2 linked regions of the Oryzias latipes genome follow. The protein of the gene in region 1 purifies or fractionates together with the protein of each later gene. This does not show direct contact. Links are inferred from orthologs where the notes say so. Each region holds a gene or a part of one and is shown on either strand. Other genes may lie near its edges.

Region 1 (7,776 bases):
GAACTTTGTCTCTGACATACTTGAATTTACACCCTAACCTCTCCTCTCCTCAGAATAGTATGGCAGGGCTGTGGAAGCCATCAGTATCAGATGGCAAGCGGAAAAAAAGTTTCTCACGCTATTCCTTTAAAATATACGCAACATTATTATTGCTGCAAGGCAAGATTATCTCCATATGGCAGCGGCTGCAGGCTGCACCGGCACTCTTTAACAGTTATGATTTAAGTTACGTCTTTTATTTTCATTTGATTTGACTCATTTTGGAGCCGGGTGGCCACACAGATGCAGACTGAGATCAGGCTGCAGATGGTCTGCAAATCTGCCGGGAGTTAAAGGACTCTTTTATTGTTCCACCTGTTTCCAGCATCACACTTATTGCAAGGAAATACCCGGATAAAGCCCAAATGATGTTGCACTATCAGGTCAAATCACGTTATTAAAAATATTAAAAGTTCTTTGGAAGCCTTTTTTTCCCCTCCAATGTTTTTTTTGTCATTTTTTAATGGGGTCATTGTGTTTGGTGTTCAAGTTGACATTGCTCACCAGCAGGGGGCGGCAATGGGCTACTTTCTACTTGATAAAATCCAGCCTTAAATGTCCAGTTGTCGTTTTGATAAAGAAATTGATAAATGAATATTATAAAATAGTTAATAATATTTTGCTAATCTTGATTTATTGGCAGAAAATAAATCGTTTAGAAGTATGTCTGCATCAGGTTTGGACTTTGAATTTTGTAATTCATTAAACACAAACAAATTCTTGAATTGATACGAGATAAAAAGATAAAAAAATAAGTGAAATACCAAAATCTTATTGCACTAAGTAGAACCAACTAAACTTATTTTTGGGATCTCAGTAAGGGAGACCATTTGTCAAAATAGCATTATTGATAAGGGTTGTGCATTATAGGAGTGTCATTAATCTATTCACTCTTTCTGCTCTTCTTTCCTTTATTTTCATTTTTCTAGTTCCATTAAGTTAGAATTTGCAAATATTAACGAATATTTAGTGGTACTTATTCCTTTTACATTTTATACACGACTGAATATAAAATAATAAAGGTAATGTTATTACCTTTATTATTTTATATTCAGTGTCAAAAAAGACTACTGAAAAATAAACAGCGAAAAAGAAAACAGATGTCTGAGTCAAATTGGTTCCATCCCTCAAAATAATTATAATAAGTATTTAAATATTACCCAACTAAATTAATATGGATAGCTGATAGTTTGATAAATAGAAATAACGGTTTTTTTATGTAAATGTATTTCCGTCTTGTCTCCACTAGATGTCACTATTTTCCTTCAAAACTTAAGTAGATTTTTTCAATTAGAAACTTCCACAACAAACTCAACAAATACATTACATTTTTTCTGTTGTTTTGTTCATTTCCTTCATTTTTTATTTTATTAATTTTTTTTGGAGCAGCTTTGAGAGTCCTGTCCTTAATTGTAACTACAGCTTCACCTTTTCTGATTGACTATCTAGGATTTAGGTTTAAAATAATTTTGTTTAAATTCTATCACTTTAGTCGACCCATATTTCAGAAAACAGATGCAAATCATCACTTTGTAGAAAGATTTAAAAATGGATTTTTATTTGTAATGAAGAGGAGTGTATTTAAAAAATAATAATATTTAATAATGAACTTCCATATCTTCCCAGTGGAAATTTTTCTTTCCTAAAAAAAGAGGAGTTCAAATCAAACACATTTAGTTTGAGATTGTCAGGAGTTTTTTTTTGTTTTCTAACTGGGTTTTCAATATTTACTCTGTCTTTCATAACGCCACATTTTTGTCCTACTTTTGTTCCTTTTCTGTGGAACATCATCCTCCCCCTGCTGCTGCCACATCCATCAAGTATAAAGGCCTTATCCCTAAAAACTGTAACTTGTTTTTTGTTGCAAAATGACTTTTCATACTTGACCCTGGTGCAATCCTATGGTGGATAAAGGTGCAGAGGATTTCATGTAATCCATGGACACCAGTGAAGATCACAAATCATTGAAGAAAAAACGTTCAGCGCACTGTCTAGTGGGTCTAGATGACCCCACTCCCGATATCAGAGTGCCTAGGATAGAACAAGGGTTAAGTAAGTAAAGATAAAAGATTTCACAAGATAAAAACATTCTGTATTTTCTGCTTGAACCTATTGTATACAGTGTGCTTTTATTTCAATGTTATGTCTGTTTGTGCATCTAGTTTAAATGAACATCTGTTTAGATTCCTCACAGGAAGAACTTGGTACATGCAGAACACAGAACCAACACTAGAGGTCAGGCTTCTCTGAGATAGCGGTCCAGATGAGAGCTTCGCAGAGGAACTTGAAACTGGAGTCATCCCAGTTTGAATCTGACTTAAAGTTCATTGAAACAGTTCAAAGAAGCTGGGACTAACTTCAGATCAGGGGCGGAGCTAGCAGGGCGGGAGAGGGGCAGTAGACTTTGGAATGGTGGCAAATGAGAAAAGCAGAGGTAACGGCCATTACAAATAAAAAATACATACTTCAAACTATTTTATTATTATTACGAATGTTAAAACAGCTTTTCTTTTAACCAATGTGCTATTTCTAATGCTTAAAGAAGCTTGTTTTGATGATTTATTAATATTTGTCAATGAAAATACTAATATTGACTCAAAAATTAGAGGGGCGGACATTTTGCGGGGGAGGGGGGCAGCCTTGTCCCCTGTAGCTCCGCCCCTGCTTCCGATTATTTTACTATTTTTATCTGATTGAAAAATGTATTCTTATAAATGGGTGATAAGACTTGTTTGGGTGAAAAAAATACATTTTAAACTTTTTACTTCACCTAGGGTCAGCTTTTTTGTCACAAATCATCACACTTGTTGGTCAAATTTAAATTTTCTGGCAAAATCAAGATGCAAATATCAGGGATTGATGAGAAAAACAAACTAACAAACAATTTTTTTAAAGCCAAAACTAACCCAAGATGTTTCGTGAAATACTCTAACAAGTGTATTTGAAGAAGATTTAAATTAATAAAAGAGCTTTAATGAGCCAATCAAAACGAACTGGGAAGGGAAATATCCAGCAGGATCCATAATCGATGATTGAACATTAGTCCCGTTGAGAGGCGGGTGCGGAGTAGGAAGGGGGGAGTCACAAGAGGAAGAGGAGGAGGAAGAGAAGTGGGGTGTGCGGAGGGGCGGTGAGGAAGAAAATAACGGCGCATCCTCGCGGCTCAGCAGCATCCCGACCACGCCGCCGCAGTTCGGAAAGTCCTGCCAAGTTTTCTCCAGAGAGGCCGCCGCGCGCGCGTGCCGCGGCCGATGGAGCCGCGCGCCTCCGAACTTCCAGCTCCGCGGTACTTTTCCAGGGAGAAGTACGAGAGTGAGCGCCGCGCGCCTTGACACGGATAGGAACCCGCGCGGCCCGGACTGGTTCCGTCTTTCTGACGAAACTTTCCGAACCCAGACTTAGCTAACCATAAGAGACAACACGAAGCACAAGCAAAGGGGTGAGTCGAACTTTTTCCCGGAGATTTTGATAAGATTTAGATTTCCACTTTAAAAAAAAAAGGTAATTTGCTTACTTTTTAAAAAGAATATATATATATATATATATATATATATATATATATATATATATATATATATATATATATATATATATATATATATATATAATGCTCATATCAGGATAAAAATAAAATATAAGATATATAGAGATAGAAAGGATTAATTGAGTTTGTGCAATGATGGGAATTATATTTATAGCTGTTAAAATGCTGCTTAATCAGGTCACTGATGGTGATTCATTTTTTCAAAAACTGCATTATTTACATATTTTCACAGTTTCAGGGTCTAGCAGCATCTCTACGTGGCTGGACATTATAAAAAAATTACAATACTCATTTTATAGGGAGCAGAAATTGATGTTTGCATCAAAAAGACTTTCAAATATTTACTTGTTAGTCCAAATATGAAATCTCATTTCTGGTGTTTGTGAAGGTGGAACATCTCCTCTGCCTGGAGCTGCTGCGGCTTTTCTCTCCGCCTGAAAGGCCGCCTGCGTTCATTTGCATCAGAAAAAAGTTTTAGTGCATTTGCTTTTGTGCAGGATGAAGAGTTCCAGCAGTCAGGGAGCAAAAGGGGGGGGGGGGGGGGGCTGAAAAGATGTGAGGAAATAATGGGGCCCTTCACATTATTCAGGATGACATGAAGGGGGGGCTCCCAAACCTGTGAAGGGATGTCACTTTCATCCAGCGCTGCCGTTTTCACACAAGCCCGCCCTGCGCCCGTCATTACCGGCCCTGCTGCGGGTTCTCCCCAAAAATCTGCGCAGAGTTTAATGAGAGAAAAGAAAGAATAACACGCGGGGGCTGCACGGGGAGAAAGGCATGCGGGCGGCCACGGGGGCGCGATAAATGGGAATTGGAAGTGAGTAAAACACCCCGCTGTGATGACTCAAAAGTCTCTTATCCCACAAAACAACAAGTCCGCACCAATTACAGCATGTGGCCCCGGGGCCTTGCCGCAGGATCCTTGAGCAGAATAGCAGCATCAGTGGATTTAGAGAAGGGGTGGCAACGAATCCACAGATGTCAGACCTGCTAAAACACATCAACCATCAAGGAATCCACTCAGTTCACCTTTAAACTAAACCAGAAAGCATCGACGCGGGGGCTCGTCCGGGATCATTTGACTCATTTTGGGCGTTAATCATAAGAAGTAAAAGATTTTTTTGAAATGAAGTCATCTCATCCGACCTTTTTTCATCATCTTTCTGATCAAAATTTTGTCTCACAAATGAAACAGCTAAAGGTTGTTGTCAGACTTGTGAGGTTTGCTCGGTGAAACTAGCGTTTGTGTGTAAATGAGCTCGAGTGAAGCTGGTAGAAAAGTGCAGACAAATGTTTGTGTTGCGTTCACGCCGTCGGGGCCGGACCCTCACGCCTTACTTCCTGTGGAGTGTTTAGATGACGGCCGCTCTGGTTTCATGAGTAAGTGGATTACAACTGTTTAGTTTTCTGGCCGACCCCGACTAATCGCTGGCAAACAGTCTGGGGAGTGAAAACAGGATGATTATTTTGACAGCAACGCTGTAGAAATAAGGAAGGCTGGAGGAGCTCATAAATTCTGCAACTTTGTCAAACACGCACCCTTGTGCGCATGCACGTGTGCACACACACACACACACACACACACACACTCTGCTTTATAAACATTTATTTTTAGAGTCACTCTGAAGATCTTCATCCAGCAGATCTTCCTTAAGATCAGACAGAGGAAAGCAGCCATCATACAGCAGCAATTACACATGATGAAAACACGCCTTTGTTCATGAAACGCAATCACACACACACACCGACACACACACACTAAGGACCAGTAGACATGTGAAATCAAAGGTCCAGGGGCCGCTGAGGGGGGGGCTGTAGTTCCTCCTCTGTGAGCTCGTCAGATTGGCTTTGATGCATTTGTTAATTAACTCCTGCAGGAGCGTGTTGGCGCCACCATCGGGCTGCGTGACACTGCAGCTCTTTGACAAAAACGACGGTCCCGACACCGTCAAAGGGGGCGATGTCAGCAAGTCAGAGATGAAGAGTGCCCTCCTCTGCCTCAGGCAAGGACGGGGAGGTTTACGTGGTTTTCTTTGGCTGTTGCGTCTCTATGAGGCTTCATCCAATCGGGGTTCACCCCCCCCCCCCCCATCTGCTTCTGTCCATAGGGGCCCCCTGGTGGCATTCCATTAATGCTGGAGCGTCACAGGTTTGTCCTGTCATCCGCTGTTAGCTCTCCCTGAAGGTGAGGACGACACCTTTGAGATTCTTAGTCGTCTCCTAGAAAACATTCCATCTTCCTCGCCGTTTTCCAGTCACTTACAAACTCATAGAGAGCGGAAGCATCGAAGCTTTTGAATAAAGAGAGTAAGCTACAGAAAAAGAGATTTGTGGGTATTCTTTTTGGTACGTCGAGTGAGCTCATAGTTTTGCAAAAAAAAAAAAAAGAATCTCAAACACACCAATTCTCTCGAAACAATTCCAGTCTAGTTAGTTAGAAAATGTGAGTACTTTCAAGTTGCAAATGGTCAACGAAAAAAGGGAATCGGACATCTTAGGCACACGAGTGATGCAAAACACGCTAATAAAGTTAGTTTTTACTCCATTATAAGCGGCATTAGTGTGGTCCGATTCATTTTTATCCATGGCCCTCAATGCCAGACACGTCGCAAATAACAAGCGTTCTTTGAATTATCGCAACTCTTCAGCTGTTTACGCAATGGACGTAATCCCAACGGATTCTGACTTGGACAGAAGCAGCTTTGCGCCAATATTCTACACTTTACAGTGATAAAGTATTGACACAATTAACGTAAACCAGCTGAAACCTACGCAGGGAAAAGACGGTTTACGCAGATATGCTACACTCAACAGAAGTAAAGAGTTTACCCAGTTAACGTAAACCAGCTGATTGTGACGTGGAAAAAGGCAGCTTGCACCACTAATTACGTTAATTGCGTGAACGGTTGAAGAGTTAGGCTAGTTCAAAAAACATCAACACTGGAGCCAACGCTCAGATGTTAAAGGACTCGACGGTCAGTACGATTATACATGTATATTTGTGTGTGTAACATTTAATTTCTCAAAATTTAACTGTTAGCTAACCTTACAGTTAGCTAACCTTATGCTATCTTATTTTAATCGTGTCAATCATAGTAAGTCTTTTATTTTCACTTTGGAGGTTTCATATTTGAATTTTTGTGCGTTCAGAAAGCGAGGTAAGCATGTGCAGAGGGCCTTGTTTTCAACTGCCAAAACGGGAAAATTAGAAAAAATTAAAACCTTTTGGCAACCAAAAAATCAAAATCCCTGACAGACTTGGATGGTTTGAGACAAATAAACTAAACATTAAATGCTTACTTGTGTGTATTTAGATAAAAATGGCTCCTCTAGCAGTTAATTAGTTGAATCGGTGACTTAATGTTTGGAGGTGACAAAGGCTCACCGCGGTGACCTTTGGGGTCCACGCAGGCGGCGCAGCACAGGAAGTGATGGTCCACTCGAGCTGTAAAACAGCGAGTGGCCATGCTGCAGCTGAACCATTTGGTTGAGGGTCAAGGATCAAAGCGGCCACGGAACCTCAGTGGCGAGCTGGAGTGGACTTCACACCGCCATCAACACGCTGGAGGCTGCTGTGAGAGGTTTAGAAAGTCAAGGCGTGCAGGCTCCTAATAAGGGCTGACAAAGAGGTGCAGGGGTCAGGTTTTTAGGCATTAAGTGACGCTAAAGGGCTTCAGAGTCTCGCCTGTCAAGGTCTGACACAGCAGGGATCAAACCCGAGACACAGCAGCTTTAACACCGGAGGAAGTAGAAAAAAGTGGAGCGAGGTCTTCAGGAACTCGCTTGAAGAGCTCCAATCAATCTTTGGTGTCAGAAAGTGTCTGTGCTGTTTTATCACTAAAACTGACTGACTCTTAAGCATTTTTCACCCCGAAATTCAAAAGTTTCTTCCAACTCTTAGAAAACGTTTGATGCCGTTCCCCTAAAATGGAGAAATCAAGCCAAAGTTGAACGGAGTACCTTGCTGTTGAGTGCATTAGACATTAGACATTGATTCGGTAAAAAACCCAACATTCTCTGGACTGAAATGTAAAAAAAAGCAGATTATGTTGCAAATTTAAGACCTTAAAGGCTCCTCAATCAAAGCAGGGCCTGAACACAACTTCGTGGGAACTCGTGGATTCAAACACTTTACAGGAAATCACAGATACGTCACACCATGTTGCGGTTAAGAACTGGTGGCATGCCCTTTG
Region 2 (8,078 bases), on another chromosome or scaffold:
TCTTACTGGGAAGTGACTGTCAAGCTTACCGTATGGAGGGAGTGTATGAAAAACAGAGGAGGGGAGGATGATGGGTGATGTGGAAAGGTGGCTGTATTTAAACTTCTCTGCTCTGAGGGTCAGACACTCTGCTTCATCCTTCCTTGGAATTTGGAGGGAAAAAGAGAATGAGAAAACTTTGGGGAGGATCGGAGCTAAACTGGACAAGAGGAAAACGCTTGGAGCATTTTATATGGAGGGTTTTGTCGGGTAAATCTAGGATTTTTGAAAACAAAAGGTAGGTTTTGGTAAAAATGTCAATGGACATTTTGTTTATTTTTCAATATAGCTCTGCTGAGAGAAAAGTGACTTCCACATTATATGAATATGAACTTTATGGAGCAGCTTGGCCCCTGAAGAAGAGGATTTTTATTCTGTGTAAACTTAAAGATGTCTTGTAAAGTAATAGGTAGGAGAACCGGTTGTTTCCCACTCCAACTGCCAGAAAGATATGAGTTTCCTGAATGTGTTTAGGTGTGGCCTCGCTCAGAAAATTCTCTGCACATTTTGTACACAATTAGAATCTAAAAAGCCACATAAAGAAAAGAAGGCAGTCAGTGAAATAACACTGACAATGTATCTCACTGTACTGCCAGAGGTAACATTGACTCCAGACCTTGAACAAGGTGCTTTTCTTTCCAGCGATGAGAGTGAGCTGCACAGGTCAGTTAATGTCAAACTTTGGTTCAAAAATGCCCTAACCGATCTTTTTCCTGCAATAGTGTTTCTCTGTATCATTTCCTGGAAGTGTGCGGTCATAACAGATGAGTAATTTCATCCCTTGGTCAGAACACAATCGCCCTGATCTGATTCGGCGCTCATATATGAGCTTGTTAGACTATCGTGTTAGTGGTTGTAAAGCATTTCCAAGAATACTGCTGCTTCTAACATGATCAGCTCTTTCAGCAAACCCTAGAACCTTGTGTGAGTTTTACCCATGCACGCTCCTGTCTGCTTCCTACTTTTCTTTTTATTTGAAACTTTAAGAAATATACCTTTTTCACATTTCCAAGCAAAAACGTACTAATGTTTTATTTTTTTAAAGTACACCACAAGAAGAGATTGAGATGAATATCAGCCTCTGTTAAACTTAGTCAGCACATACTTAGCCGTTGCTCAATCTTTAAGTGAAAGAAGCAGAGTTGACGTTATCACATCATCATCTTCTGAGGAAGTGCAGATGAATGACTTAGCTACATCATGAAATCACATCACTTACTTTAAATTATCCTGACTTAAGAATCTTGGTGGTTTTTGTGTTGTCTTGTATCTATTCTTTAATGCAAAAATGTGTAAAAACGTTGATGCTCGAGTCAAACAACTTTGCTGTTCGAGGATCAACTCCTGAAGGCGGTTTACGAGAAGTGCTCTACTATGAGAACTGAATTCCATAGATGGTAGCTTTTCTAGGTGTCATCTATGGGCTCAGTTCTTTTGGCATGGTACTGGTTTGTCGAGCATGCCGCAAAGCAACAGACCACGTGCATGTAAAGCCAAGAGTTCTTGTGCAATGAACATTTGTGGATGGTTTTATTATGATTGTATGTTATACATCTGTTTGAAATGCAAATGAATTTCTTTCAGATTATACACTTCAACTAATGTAATTAAAAAGAATAAATAAAAGATGGATGTTGTTTATTTTATATTCTAATAAAATATTTGAAACTATCTTTGTCAATAAGTTATTTTAAATTTTTTTGCTGTTTGTTGAAAGTACCAGCTTATCTCATCCGCATCTCTGTGTTTCCTCAAAAGCTGGATCCATTGTAATGGTGGCCAGCAACAATTTTAAAACAAACCTTTAAACCATTTTGTGTTTGATTTTTCTCAATGAAAAGAACATAAATTAATTGGGCGTTATCAAAATGTCATCAAAAATCAAAATTGTATAGTATTGATGCTTACAAAACCCAGAAATAACCCCTAATCGGCAAATAGAATTGTTCTATCTGGAAAAGTTGTGACGCTTCCACCCAGATCTCTTTAAAATTTGATCTGGAAAGCAAAATATTGATTGAGACATAATGAAAGCAGAAGCTTTTAATTAAGAGATTATTGTGCATGAAAGCAGTTGTGTCATTGTTTTGCAATGAACCATGTTCGATCTTGAAACTACAGTTGACACATCAGTTTATTTAAGGAATTTCTTCCTGAATCACATAACACTGTCCCACTGTAAGATCAAAACAGATACCACTGACAGGTTGCACAGCGAGGTTTGGAATTCTTATCTTTACTCATGTCCCACGCAGAAACCAATTTCTCTCTTGTTGAAAGACGTTTCCCCTCAGTTTCACCCACACCTGATCTCACACAAAATGATCAAAAAACAGATTTGACTACAATTTACACAGCTGTTCATCTGCAACGTTCTGTGTGATTAAAGAACAAATCTTAATACCAAAGGAATTTATGACAGGCAGGTGGGGATGTTTTGTGTTTTTATAATAATTTTGATAATCCGTACATCTTTTAAACCCCCCTTTTGGGGTTAGACGGTTGCTGAAGCCTTGATGGACAAAGGTTAAGTATGCGCTGGGCAGGTTGCCATTCTGTCACACACACTTAAGGGGCAATTTAGACATTTCAATTAACCTATGAAGCACATTTTTAGACAGTACGGTAAGAAGAAGTTGGAGTTCCCAGAGAAGACCTGGAAAAGCCCCATAGCTGGGATTTGAAGCAGAGCCTTCATGATGTGAGACAAGAGTGCTGACCACTACACCAGCGTGCAGCCCAATTTTGACATATCCTTCTATGGTGGGGTTATATTTTATTATTTCACTTTCATGCTCATTCGGAGCAGAAGGAAAGGTTATCCCTCATCCTCAGTGTCTCCAATTTGAGCACATTCAGAAACAGTGTGTGTATTACTCCCCACAGCAAAAAAAAAAAAAAACATTTTTATTGATTTTGTCTAGTTGTTTTAGGGTTAATTCATTCACACAAAAAAAAATCCAAAGCTCCCTACTTGGATTCTTGGCGCCTTTTGTGTTGATTTACATTAAATGTCATCACTCTTTTGAAATTTGTTCTGTTTTATAATAAAAGAATAATATAATAGCTGCCATGAGGTCATAATTATTTAAGACCAATTTTAGATACAAAAAAAAATAATATGGAGGCCATCAGGTATATATTTTGTATATCTGTTTTGCTGTTGGAGTACATTTCCCTATGAGTAAAAACCTAATGAAACATCAATCCGTCCGCATAAGCACTGGCCTCTACTATAGTTGCATCATATAGGTTAATTGAAAACTATAATAATAAAAATGACAACAATAATTTTTTGACCACAGTTTTTTTAAGTCCGACACAGCGGCTCAAAAAGCTCCACTCCTATTGGTGGATAGAAGCGTCGATCTGTGACGTCATCCTCCCTGGCCAACCAGCTGTTTGGTGTTTTTTTTTTTTTTACCCCTTGTGGACAATGAGCAACAGGCCCCTGAGTTTAGCACAACGAGGAGAGTTCACTGTTACACAACGCCTTGCTTTTGAGAGATTTCTTTATTTTAGTGTCCTGAAAAGTAACTGAATTTGTTTATCTTTATTTTTTCGTCTTACAAAGATAATTCTGGATTGTTTGAGGCCGTGGTATGGACGAGATACGGCCTGTTAGCGGTGCGCCAGCCCACGGGCTGGTACCACTGTTTCCTCCGGGGCTGCAGGCTATCTATGGGGAATGTCGGCGACTTTATCCCGACCAAGCCAACCCGCTGCAAGTTACTGCCATTGTAAAATATTGGTATGTAACAAACCATTATTTTTAATCTGACAAAAATCTTTATAAGAGACTTTTTTGTGTGTGTTCTTCATGAAGCGATAGCTAGCATTAGCAGAGAAAAAGTTTAGCCTAGCTAAACAACTTAGCTAACATTTGGGAGATTTCTTCAAACAAAGGATGTTATTTTGATGGAATTCGGAATTTTAGCACCAAGTTTTATTGTTAAATAAAGCACAAAAAAGTGTAAATAATAACACTAAAATCTTTTCATCTCTCAGTCAGTTTAGGTACACATGACAGGTTTTGGAATAAACGTAGTTTTTTGACGCATCATGTATTGATCTTAATGGAAAACTTGCTTTTAATAAATGAAATGTTGTCTATACATTAGGCTTGGTGGGCCAGACCCGCTAGACTACATCAGCATGTACAGAAACATGGGCCGTCCTGCTCAGGACGTTCAGGAGCATTGGCACTATGTGAGCTTTGGCCTGAGTGACTTATATGGCGATAATCGTGTTCACGAGTAAGTTTTTGCAAATTTATTGACATGCTATTAAAATCATGATTAATCCAAATGTTGATATGGTACTGCACCCCCCCCCCCCCCCCCCCATAGTTAGCCATATGTTTTGATCTGTATATATCAATGCAGAGATTACCAAGGCAAGCCCTGCTGTTTATAAAAACATACACAAATTTACGTTTTTCAGATTTACAGGGGCAGATGGACCTAGTGGGTTTGGCTTTGAGCTCACCTTTAGGCTCAAAAGAGAGGTCGGAGAGACTGCACCTCCCACATGGCCAGCTGAACTCATGCAAGGATTGGCACGATATGTCTTCCAGTCAGGTAAAAATCGCAATCTGGTGCTCCTTCAATGTCCACATGCATTCAGATGATGCTGAAACATACATTCTCATGGATGGATAACAATTTTGAAAGTTTGATGGACTCCTGTTCTTGATGTACATTAAAATCCATAAAACCGTTTGTGAAACTGGTTGCTGCTAGTACGGCGTTTAAGTATTTAGCTCTGTTATTCGTTTTAACTATACATCCATTTAATTTAGGAACGTTGATTACTTTTTAAGGCAATTCTTTTCTTGGCATATGGTCTTCCAGTTGAAATCAATTTTTTTATTTATTGAGAACTGTTTTTTTTTATTATTCTATTTCAAAGATAAAAAAGATAGAGTTTTGTGGCTCCTGTAAACATCAAGAGTTGAAATGCTATGTTATCAGGTTTCTAGTTTTCTTCTGAGCCTGGATCAGAAAAATGTGGCTGAGTTGGGGTAGACACAAAGGAGGGGAAGCCGTTTACTCTAGGCTCTCATTTCCAGCTGGGGTCAGTTTGGATGTGGGTGGGCTCCTAAACAGAATGATTGCTGATTTTTCTGACCATCCTCCCCTTTGCTTCTCTTCTGAGTCCAGATAGGGAGCTTGTTGCCACCCAAGCAGATGCATTCACTCAGATGGATGAAGGCCATTTATTTAGTTTTTCTTGTTGTTTTCTTCTGATTTTCTACTCATCCTTTTTGTTATGTCATTTTTTGGGGTTCTTATTGCCTTGATTTTGTTATTCTTATATTTCTGTGCAGTGATACAGTAAAGTAAAGGAATGAGGAATGAGTTTGAAAACACAGACCCAGATGTACTAGACTTGATCTCATGACAGTCTTAACTTCCAACCGCATTGGTTGAACTAAAAAATAAAAAACTGCCTCTCTACAGAAAACACCTTTTGTAGTGGTGACCATGTTTCATGGCACAGTCCACTTGATAACAGTGAATCTCGGATCCAGCATATGCTGCTCACAGAAGACCCGCAGATGCAGCCAATCCAGACTCCGTTCGGCACAGTGAGCTTCCTTCAGGTGAATCCAAATTCCCTTCAGCTACAGAGTTCATAAGAATATATAGATATTTCTTTAGTTTTTGTTTGTTAACCACACTTTAATATGTTAGGTCGACCGGGTTTGTATATAATAAATATAGATTGGCATATTATTTTTCTGTGATTATCACAAAAAAAGGGATTTAAAAATGTATTTGTCAGTATCACAGTTTTGGTTTTTGCATTTAATTCTGTTAATTAAACATTCACTTTGAAGGTTCTTGTGTAACAAAGAAGGAAAAAACTGTTACAAAAACACTCCAATGACTGTTTCTACTGTCACGCTTCGTATTGTTTCTTTGCCTCGCTCACTTGTGTTTTTCTGGCTCATCTTTTTGGTTCATCATATGTGGATTGTTTGAATCTGAAATTCTGAGGTTTTCATTCTAGCGCCGCTGCTAAACTGTTAACCTTTTGTTTCTTTTACTTAAGTCAAAATGTCATATGAACATCAGAGAAATAAAACTTTCTTTTCAAACTGCATTTAAGGAACAGGAACAAAAAAATAGCTTTTTTTTTTACATGTTTCCAACTCTATTCAAATGTCTTATCTACACTCATCTGTTTTTAAAGGTCATACTCAGCATTATTCGTGTAAATAGCTAAAAGATTATCCTATATATATGCATTAACTATAAACAGTGCAAAATACCAATAACTGGTTCTGGTGGGTTTCCTTTTCATCAGATTGTGGGTGTTTGCACAGAGGAGCTGCAGGCGGCCCAACAGTGGAACGGCCAGGGCATCCTGGAGCTGATGCGTGGAATCTGCATGTTAGTAGAACAGAGTTTCGTTTGCTTTTTTGGTGTCCTCATTCTGTTCCTACAGAAAGAAAGAGGCTCTGTGATCTTTTCACTCCCTCAACAGTGTGATGCTTTTCAATACTCATTTCAAAATGGATTCTTTTAGCATCAGCCCACCTGATGGTTTCTCTGTTTCTGTTTGAAAGGTTATTACAGCGAATTTGTGCTTTGGTTTTCCTTTAGGTCATTTAGATTTGATTCATTATTTTTCCAAAGTTGCAAGCATAATTAAAAAAAAATCAAATATTATATACAATAAATATTGATAGATGTGATGCAGAAGTCTCCTTATTTATAGGAAAACATATATTTGAAATGTTTTTTGGTGTGTGCTGCAAAATCTCTCATAGGTTAAAATGTATATGTTTTTGTAAAGTCCCTTGTTTTCTGAATGACGAAAAGAATTTAGTGAACAGAATATTTTAAAATAATTTTTTAGACAGTCAGACCATGACAGGCTAAATGTTAAGGTGTTTAAAAAGAAAACTGAAATCTGTGTTTTAGCTAATGTGCATCCACTTTGACTAAGTAGCAATCATCTTTGATTTCCGCTAAGATTTGACTTAAATGTAAAAAATAACTTTTTTGGTCAGTTCTTTTATGTCAGAAACAAGTCTGCTGGGATTTATTAAGCTTTTGTATTAGTTTAGGTATAATCTGTGTGCCTAAATTTGTTAATTAAAGTTTTAAGGGGATTCCCTGGGTGTAGTAATTGAGAAATGCAGTTCTAATTCATCTATACATGCCTTTTTCAACCTGAGGTTAATGTTGATGCTCCCTCTGTGTGCAGAGCTGGTGGCCCTTGGCTTATCACAGACATGAGGAGGGGAGAAACCATTTTTGAGATCGATCCACACCTACAAGTAAGGTTTTATTTAGCATCACGTGGAATGTGAAGCTCTTATTTGACATATTAGTATGAATCTAGTTTAGATGAACTGAAATACATGACAATAGCTTTAAAAATCTTAAAATGATTAGGGATTCCTGCTCATCTTTTTATTTGATCCTTGCACATTTGATTGTTGACTGGTTTTTATTCTATTTATTTTTCTGTATACCATGTATATTGACAATAAAGGCTTTCTATCTTATTCGTAGAAATTTACAGTAAATATATTAGACAGAAGTTTAGCATTGGAGGCTTTTAAATCCAACCAGTTGGAAATTGTATTATTTTTAAGTTGACATTCTTTTTCCTTGTATTCCTAAAAATGTTAACTTTTGTATATTTGTCTATATAAATGTAAATGATTGTGGGTTTTCTATGGCTTTTCTAAGCAGGAGAGAGTGGACCAGGGCATCGAGACCGAGGGCTCGAACCTGAGCGGTGTCAGTGCCAAATGTGTGTGGGACGATCTGAGTCAGCCGCCAGAGGATGAGGAGGACAGCAGATCCATCTGCTTAGGATCCCAACCGCGGAGGCTGTCAAACAAAGGTAAAGCCCCGCCCCACATAGAGGTAAAACTGTTTCTGCCTCAGAAGAAGACGTTTTCAGCGTTTTTTGATATGTTTAAAAACAGACACGGAGCAAATCAGAGAGACATTAAGAAAAGGACTGGAGTTTAACAGCAAGGCAGCACTACCGCCCATCAGCAGCCAGAAGCAGAG

What was found. The genes of interacting proteins can lie anywhere in the genome.
Region 2: the proteins of gli2 (region 1) and sufu purify together in Homo sapiens (affinity purification with mass spectrometry; 3 studies listed by BioGRID and IntAct, with this or other methods). This does not show direct contact. The link is inferred for Oryzias latipes from reciprocal best matches to the Homo sapiens genes GLI2 and SUFU.

The regions. Positions count from the first base shown.
Region 1 is NC_019860.2:10,604,180-10,611,955, reverse strand, and holds the start of gli2 (zinc finger protein GLI2), read left to right. Parts: upstream 1-3,068; 5' UTR 3,069-3,478; intron 3,479-7,776. UniProt on the Homo sapiens protein: Functions as a transcription regulator in the hedgehog (Hh) pathway. Functions as a transcriptional activator. May also function as transcriptional repressor. Requires STK36 for full transcriptional activator activity.
Region 2 is NC_019873.2:23,437,538-23,445,615, reverse strand, and holds the start of sufu (suppressor of fused homolog), read left to right. Parts: upstream 1-3,460; 5' UTR 3,461-3,641; coding exon 3,642-3,790; intron 3,791-4,160; coding exon 4,161-4,295; intron 4,296-4,482; coding exon 4,483-4,619; intron 4,620-5,501; coding exon 5,502-5,644; intron 5,645-6,351; coding exon 6,352-6,437; intron 6,438-7,257; coding exon 7,258-7,330; intron 7,331-7,748; coding exon 7,749-7,905; intron 7,906-7,990; coding exon 7,991-8,078. UniProt on the Homo sapiens protein: Negative regulator in the hedgehog/smoothened signaling pathway. Down-regulates GLI1-mediated transactivation of target genes. Down-regulates GLI2-mediated transactivation of target genes. Part of a corepressor complex that acts on DNA-bound GLI1.